Linked DNA regions of Rattus norvegicus. The protein of the gene in region 2 interacts with the protein of the main gene of each other region in a pairwise test. Links are inferred from orthologs where the notes say so. Each region holds a gene or a part of one and is shown on either strand. Other genes may lie near its edges.

Region 1 (4,005 bases), on a different chromosome or scaffold from region 2:
ATCTCTTCAGGTGAGGATTCTGTACTGCTAGGCCAGATACATGTCCTGATCATAACAATTAAAAATAAAAAATATTGAGAAAAACCATGTAAATAATATTTGAAATTTATAGTAAATCATAAGCCCATTATTTTGTGCAACAATCCAAAATAAGTAAAAGTAATACTTATGACTCAAAGACAGAAAGTGGGAACTCCTAAGATACGAACAGAGTTGGGAAGCCAACTTTGAGAGCATTTGTTGAACAATCACATTTAATGTTTATGAAATCAAGTGACTGTTTTTTTGAGTCAGAGCTTTACTACATAACTCTGGCTGTCCAGGAATTCAATATGTAGACCAGGCTGGCTTTGAACTCACAGAGATTGTCCTGGCTTTGCCTCCCAAGTGCTAAGATTAAATGCCTGGCTGAATAGAATAGTAATTTGTTGAAGTAATGACAGGTAATTAAACTATTTGTCAGCATTGATGTAGAAGCTAGGAAGAAGAGATCAGAATTCAGAAGTCTTGTGGCCTTTTAAATATACTTTTTATAATTTCTAGGATAATTGCTAAAGACTAAAGAGTCAGTTACAATAAATATAATTGAAGTAAAAGATAAAGACTGCCAGTACAGAAAAATCCGACCTTCTGGCTTATAGCAAATACAGCTAGAAGATGTCTATACATATGGTTAACTATAAAAGGACATGAGAACAATTTGTCAACAATACTAATTAAAAGTAACTAGGCTAAAAAATATATTGTTGCCAGAGATTGAATGCATTTCTTGGAAAAAGATTCAGTTCTCCATCTTGAAATGACATCTTTAAACTAATTTGAGGCTAATTACTTAGCTTTGGGTAGATTTAAAAAATGACAGTCAAAGCTCATTATAGAATATTCAAATATAATGTATTTTATTTAGTAGAAAAAAGTCATGAGTATTATTGCTCACCCATTAGAACCTGTGGAGAGGACAGAGATTTTCTGCCCCATTTGCTGCTGTTGTCCCTAGATACAAGGACTGTCAAGTCTTAAGATGTAGCTAGTATGAACAATAAAATGAGTTTTAATTAGATGAGCTAATCATGATGACTCTGCCTTTAGTCCCAGTATTTGGAAGGCAGAACAGATGAATCTCTGAGTTCAAGGCCTGTCTTTTTTTTTTTAAGATTTATTTATTATATGTAAGTACACTGTAACTGTCTTCAGACACACCAGAAGAGGGCATCAGATCTCATTACAGATGGTTGTGAGCAACCATGTGGTTGGTGGGATTTGAACTCAGGATCTCTACTGGAAGAGCTGTCTAGCCCCCAAAGCCTGTCTGTTCTATATTGTGTGTTCCAGCATAGCCAGAGATGTATAGCAAGACTTTGCCTCAAAAAAGAGAAGGGAAAAATCTTCCCAAAAATAGGAATAGGGTAGTGAGCTGAAGAAAAGCATATGCTCAATGTTATTAATACCATATCCATTTTCTAGTAGCATATATCTATGTATATTGATAAAATATAGATTAAAAGAGAAAGAACTAAGGAAAGGGGCTGGAAAGATGGCTCAGTGGTTTAGGCCCTTCTTGCTCTTGCAGGGGACCCAGGTTGATTCCCAGCTGCGATGTGGTGACTTAAAAACCATCTGTAACTCCAGCTTTGGGATCTGATGCCCTCTTCTGGTCTGCATTGGTACTAGGCACACTATGTTAAAATGTTGAACGTGCTTTGTGTATGGGTCAAAACATTTTATCCTAAAAATGTTATTTCTCAAATTTATCTGTGGAATTTGACACATTTCCAAACGTCTCTGGAGATATTTTTGTGAAACTCATGTTTGTAGGATGTCTGTGGGTCAAAAGTCAAGGTACTACTATAAAATAAAGAGATCATCAGTAACTACTGTACAGCTAAGATTATATTGGTAAAGTGACAGAACAATTAACAAAAAGAAAAAAATGATGGAAACAGGCTGACAGCAAAATTTGGCTTATGGTAGAGAATGATATTACGGATTAGTGGGTAACTGTTGACTACTTTTTTTTTATTTCTTTTTTTTTTTTAATTTCTTTTTTTTTTTTTTTTAATTTCTTTTCTTTTTTTGGAGCTGGGGACCGAAACCAGGGCCTTGCACTTGCTAGGCAAGCACTCTACCACTGAGCTAAATCCCCAACCCCAACTACTTATTTTTATTTATTATTATTGCACTTTCTGAGACAAGGTCTTACTCTATGTAGCTCTGGCTGGCCTGGGACGCACAATATAGACCAGGATGGGCATAAACTCAGAGATCCACCTGTGTTGTGATTAAAGGAATGTGCCAACATGCCTGACCCTGCTTTATTTATTTTGTGGTAATATATGTATGTAGGTGTGAGCCTGCCATCATACTCGTGTGGTCAGATGGCAGGTGGTAGGAGCCAGTTCTCTGCTTCCACCATGTGGGCTTCAGGGATCTTAGGTCCTCAGGTTTGGCCATTAGCTGATGAGCAATCTCACCAACTTAAAATGACTTAAAGCTGTTTTTTACATTTCTTTACTTACTTTGTGTGTATATGTGCATGGATATGTATGTACACATACATTTGGAGGTCAACAAATTGAGGAAAAAGCTTACTTAACTCTGTATGGTGGTATTTTGTCTATTTTTCTAATACTTTCAAAATTACTATAAAATATACATGTCTTCCTTCCCAGAAGTCCCCATCCCCCTTTTTCTTTTGAGACAGGGTTTCTTGTAGCCCACGCTTGGCCTTGAACTTTTGATCCAGCTGCCTCCATTTTGAGTGCTGGGATTATAAGCATGCACCATGGTTCATGGGGTGCTTTAGATAGAAGTCAGGGCTTTGTCCGTGCTAGGTGAGTATGATACCAACAGAGTTGCATACCCAGCCACACATGACATTTTCCGTCTTAGTTAGGGTTTCTATTGCTGTCCATGACCAAACGCAAGTTGGAGAGAAAAGGGTTTATTTGGCTTACACTTCCATGTCACTGTTCATCATTGAATGAAGTCAGGGTAGAATCAAACAGGGGAGAAACCTGGAGACAGGAGCTGGTAAAGAGGCTGTGGAGGGGTGGCTTGTTCCCGTCGTATACTGGCTTGCTCAGCCTGATTTTTTTTTTTTTTTTTTTTTTTTTTTAAGAACCCAGAACCACTAGCCTAGGAATGGCATCACCCACAATGAGCTAAGCCCTCCCCCATCAATCACTATTAAGGAAATGTCCTACAGGCTTGCCTATAACCCAGTCTTATGGAGGCATTTTCTTAATTGAGGCTCCCTCCTTTCCAGTAGCTCTAGCTTGTTTCAAGTTGGCATAAAACTAACCAGCACACTGTCAGAATAAGTACATTTGGGTATGTTGTATGTTTTTGTTTGTTTTAAGAAAGCTAGGTAATTCTGAGTCTTTGACTTGGACTTGTTTTCTTTATTTGATATTTGGAAATGACCATGTCTCACTGGCCTTGTATCCTCAATCCTACAGCACAGGAGGAAAAGGCGCTCCACACCGTTAGCTCCAGCCACACCACCTTCACAGACAACAGAGAAAAGCCAGTACTTCCAGACCACAGAAATCTCACTTTGGACAGTGGTGGCTGCTATTCAAGCTGTGGAGAAGAAGATGGAATCCCAGGCTGCCCGACTGCAGAGCCTGGAGGGACGCGCAGGGTCAGCGGAGAAGAAGCTGGCTGACTTCGAGAAGACAGCTGTGGAGTTCAGCAACCAGCTGGAGGGCAAGTGGGCCGTGCTGGGGACCCTACTGCAGGAGTACGGCCTGCTGCAGCGACGGCTGGAGAATGTGGAGAACCTGCTTCGAAACAAGAACTTCTGGGTCCTTCGACTGCCCCCAGGCAGCAAGGGGGAGACCCCAAAGGTAGAACCTCTACATTTAAAAGTTAGGCAAGAAGGGGAACCCAGCCTTGACTAATCAAGATGTTGGTATCTGGATGGTACTCCTAGGAGTCAGAGTGCTCATTTCTTGTGGCTTACAATTGCAGGTGTCCGGGCCCCTTGAGAATGATGGGGTCTGT
Region 2 (4,628 bases):
TGTGAGCCACCATGTGATTGCTGGGAATTGAACTCAGGACCTCTGGAAGAGCAATTAGTGCTCTTAACCGCTGAGCCATCTTTCTAGCTCTGAGATTCTCATCTTTAAAAAAGAAAGGAAGAGAGGGTGGAGGAGAGGGGAAGAGAGGAGAGGAGAGAGAAAGGAAACTAGGCAGAGGTGGTGCAAACCTTTAATGCCTTTATCTAGCACTCGGAAGGTATAAGCAGACCATTTCTGAATTGGAAGCCAGCCTGGTTTGTAGAGTGAGTTCCAGGGCTAGAGAGAAACTTTGTCTCAAGATAAACAAAATAATGGGGCTAGAGACATAGCTCAGCGGTTAGGAGCAATGACTGCTCTTCATTAGGACCTGAGATGAATTCTTAGCATCCACATGGCAGTTCACAACTGTCTGTAACTCTGAGATCTGATGCCCTTAAACATACATACATGTAGGCAAAACACCAATGCAGATATAAATAAATGAATAAATAAATATCAACAAAAAAGATATTAACTCACCATACAATTAAAAAAGAAAGTCTGGCCTTTATTTAATCCAGAGAACTGTCTGACTCCTGAGGGCTGAGATTAAATTTATACTCATCACAATCAGCCTTTATTTATGTTTTTAGAGACAGGCTCTTGGGTTCAGCAGTTAGGAACACTGGCTGCTCTTGCAGAGGTCCTGAGTTTGAATCCTAATCCCTACACGATAGCTAGCCATTTGTAACTATAGTAGGAGTAGATCCTTCCCCTGGCTTCTTTAGGCCATCACACACACGCGTGGTATATAGACATACATGCAGGCAAAACAGCCATACAGACAAAATTTAAAAAGAGGTTAAGAAAAAAAACATAGGTCGTAGCTATATAGCTCAGAACGGATTTGGATTCCCTAGAAAGAAACATCAAGCCATTACTTACTTTGTGCCTCTTCACTTGGATTCTCTCGAGCTTTCAGGAGCTCCTCGAATTCCACCGACATTGGCACACAGATCTGGTGGGAGAGAAAAGCTCAGGTGGGTCTGGCAATGTCTCAGGCTTGTAGTACAGGGCTGGACTGCTTTTTTTCACTGATTGGTTAATCTACAAGATTTAGTGTGAAACTATTCATCTACTGGGCTTCTTTTAAATCCAAACATACAGTCTTTACCATCAGTTTATAAAACACTCTTAAAACATCAATTTGTGGAGTTTCCTATTTGGTTGTCCATGTACATCTAGATACTGTATTAAAAAAAAAACCGTTCAACAAATTTGTTCTATTTCTTTAAATCTACCAAACATAAAATACAAATAAAATGTTTGACAGGTTTTTTTTTATATACATATTGTCTCAAATGTCAGGAATTTTTTCTTTAAAAGCCTGAACTATATCTCATCATAAGCACACATATTTACAGTATATACATATGCATATTATACTTGCAAGTCTTTAAGGCTGGGCTTCTAATGCTCGCTTTGACCTTAAGTGTACAGAGGAGCTCACTACTTAGTGTTCTCAGCTTCCCTTGCTTTATAACTGGGCAGACGTCTGATTCCTTGCCACAAATACAGCATCCTAAGGAAGGACTGCCTTGGAGGAGGTAGTCCACAAGAGATATTTTACACGAGTTCTGAAGGTGCACTGAACTCTGGGAATGAGCACAGTACAATTGTGTTGGTAGATTTCAAGCCAGAGCTAGGAGCACATTGTATTGGGTGGGAGAAATTCTTAAGAGAGATAAAAAGGAAAAAGTAAGTTTGGGTAGGGGGAAAGCTACTATGAGGGAGACAAAATTGGAACTAAACCAATAAAGAACTCTGGTGCAAAGGTCACCCGATCTCTCACTGGACAGAAAGAAATAGGCTCTAGTGCTTCCTGTGTTCTCTTACTGCAGAGGAACACCAGGAAGGATGTCGCCTAACTGTGCTCACTGCAGTGAAGTGGCACGTTCTTTCTTGGACAGACATCTATATGGCATGCCACCATTTTCCTCGCATCTTTCCTTTTTTTAAGGATAGGTCTTGGGAAACTACTTTGGGAGCCTCACCTCATTTGGGTGCTTCCGATGAAATTCCTTTATCTGCTTCAGTCTGTTATAGAATTCAGCAAACTCATTGGGTCCTGAAATAGCATTGAGCTCCTCCTTTCGTAATCTGCAAGATATCAGCAAATTCAAAGTGCATAAAGCACAAAGGCCATCATTTCACCATGGCTCCCCTGAAGCACTGTTAGAAGGGATGTGACTGTCACTTACCCATCCTTATCATCATACAAATCCCTCAGGTTCCCACTGACCTCCATGTATCTCTGAAACGCAAACACAAAGCCATCAGAATGGAGCAAATTTGTACAATGGGGCTAGGTAAACAACAAAGGGAGTCTTGGCAAGACCCAAGGAAACCTCACGGGATACAAAGTCTTGAAAGTTCCACCACTTTTACAACACAGCCCGAACCCAGAGTAGTCGCCCACACTTTTGAGAGGCAGAGAGAGGATATCTGACTAAGAACCCAGGGGCAGGAATCACGCTGAGCCTCCAAACCTTCCCTGCCAGCACTTTTCCCGCCCAGCCAGACCCAAAGGGAAGCAGACAGCGGGGCACTCACATCTTGCATGGCCCTAGTGCGGTGATCGGAATTGATCTGGTCCCGGAGCTGCAGAAAGGCAAACGGTAACACATACGTTGTTACTCTGAGTTCAGGAGTTGGAAAGGCCACCCGAAGGATGAGCTTATTGGTTTAGGTCTCAGGGGCTGAAGCAGAAGGGCTGCTGGGCCCTCGGAAGACGTTAAGGAGGCCAGAGCGCCCAGACAGCTTAGGAGGAAGATGAAGATGGGGCGCAGGGAGGGTCTGAGACCAAATAAAACGCCGAGAGCTCCGCTGAGGGCCGAGGCCCTCCTACTGATGCGACCCCGACCACTGTTCACTCACCGTGGACTTCTTAGTGAGCATTTCTTTGGCCATAACATCCATAAGCCGTTCTTTCTCCTCATGATAGCGCCGTTGCTGCTCTAAAATTGTCTCCATTTTCTCTTGGCCGCGGTACTTCAATTCAGACCGCTAACACTGCCGGAAACACTGCCTGCCGCCTTGCACGCCCGTGTCTCTGAGCGCAGTATCCGGCTGCACCAAAGTTCCGCGTGTCCCGGAAGTGGCTTGGGGGACTCAAGAAAAAATGAACACCACAAAGAGAGCAAGTCGATGCTACCGGCGACAGTAGCTACACTGCCCCCTGCTGGCTGGAGGTCTGAAAACGCGATGCTTCAGCGATGAAAGATGTCTCTAGGTTGCCTGCAAGAATCCTGCAGGCTGAGGGTGAGAGACAGCTGGCTTGCCTGAGGCTTGCTGCAGACAGCTGGGCCGGCTGGGACACACTAACATTTGAACCGATAAACTGAAGGATACAGACAGGAAAGGGGACCTGGAAGCTCCAGTTTTCAGTGTGTGACCTCTGGTGATGTTTTCCCCTTGTCTGGACTTTAGTATGTCTGTCAGTAAAATGCAGATGGTGGTGATTTTGTTCTTAACAAAAGTCATACTTACTCATACTAAAACACAACCTTTGTTTATTAGCAGAGGAGTCTTTAAGAAAAATGTAGTACACTCAAGCAATGGTAGGCTTGCTATTTGATACAGGTTGGCTTCTGATTCTCTGTAATTCTTAATTTTTCTGCTTTTCGCAGAAACTTGCTGGAATTACAGGTCTGAGCCACCATACCCGGCCACTGTATGGCTTAGAAAATGAAATCTAGGCTGACTTTCTTTGACAGAGGAGGAAGAGGAGGAGGCAGAGGCAGGAAGATCTCTGAGTTCTAGGCCAGTCTGATCTACATAGTGAGTTCCAGGACAGCCAGGGCGACATAAAGACCCGGTCTCAGGAAATAAACACAAACAAACAAACAAACAAACAAACAAACAAACAAACAAACAGAATAGGGACAAAGCGTGAATTGGTATAGAGTGCCTGTCTAGCATGTATTGGGAAAAACAGCTTTAGAGCAAGGTCGAGTGGCTCACACCCGTGATCCAGACTTAGGGGACTGAGGTAAGAGGAAAATAAGTTCAAGTTCAGCCTGAGCTATGTGATAAGACCCTATCTCAAAACAACATATACACGCATGCACGCACGCACAGATACACGCATGGACACATACGCGTGTGAAATCCAAGGTACAGGTTTCAACATCAACACAAGAAAAGGGACTCTACTACATGCCTACTCTAGGCAGAGAAATGAAAACATTGTCCATATGCTCCTGTTATTCATAATTCACCAAAACTGCATGTAACCCAAGAGTCCATTAATTGGGATTGGAGATATGGCTCGGCAGTTAAGAGCATTCGCTGCTCTTCCGGAGGATCTGAATCCAGTTCCCAGCACGCGAGTCAGGTGGCTAACAACCACTTGCATCTCCAGGTCCAAGGAATGACTGGGCACCCTGGTACACATGCCATCCACTCTTACATACATACACACCTAATTCATGGGTGAATGGATAAACGTGTTATCAGAGGACACTGTTCAGCAGTGAGGGAACGCTCTAAGGAACCATGAAAGCATCATACTCCATAGAGACAGAAGGGGCTGGTATAACGCTTCAGTGGCTATCTTCCAGAACACCCAGGTTTGGTTCCCAGCACTC

What was found.
Region 1: the proteins of Sf3a3 (region 2) and Zfp212 interact in binary tests that used the Homo sapiens proteins (3 or more experiments, as listed by UniProt). The two-hybrid records come from large-scale screens. The link is inferred for Rattus norvegicus from reciprocal best matches to the Homo sapiens genes SF3A3 and ZNF212.

Annotation. Positions count from the first base shown.
Region 1 is NC_086022.1:78,257,412-78,261,416, forward strand, and holds part of Zfp212 (zinc finger protein 212), read left to right. Parts: intron 1-3,458; coding exon 3,459-3,848; intron 3,849-3,972; coding exon 3,973-4,005.
Region 2 is NC_086023.1:142,250,854-142,255,481, reverse strand, and holds the start of Sf3a3 (splicing factor 3A subunit 3), read right to left. Parts: upstream 3,076-4,628; 5' UTR 3,013-3,075; coding exon 2,917-3,012; intron 2,641-2,916; coding exon 2,593-2,640; intron 2,294-2,592; coding exon 2,241-2,293; intron 2,140-2,240; coding exon 2,034-2,139; intron 998-2,033; coding exon 925-997; intron 1-924. UniProt on the Homo sapiens protein: Component of the 17S U2 SnRNP complex of the spliceosome, a large ribonucleoprotein complex that removes introns from transcribed pre-mRNAs.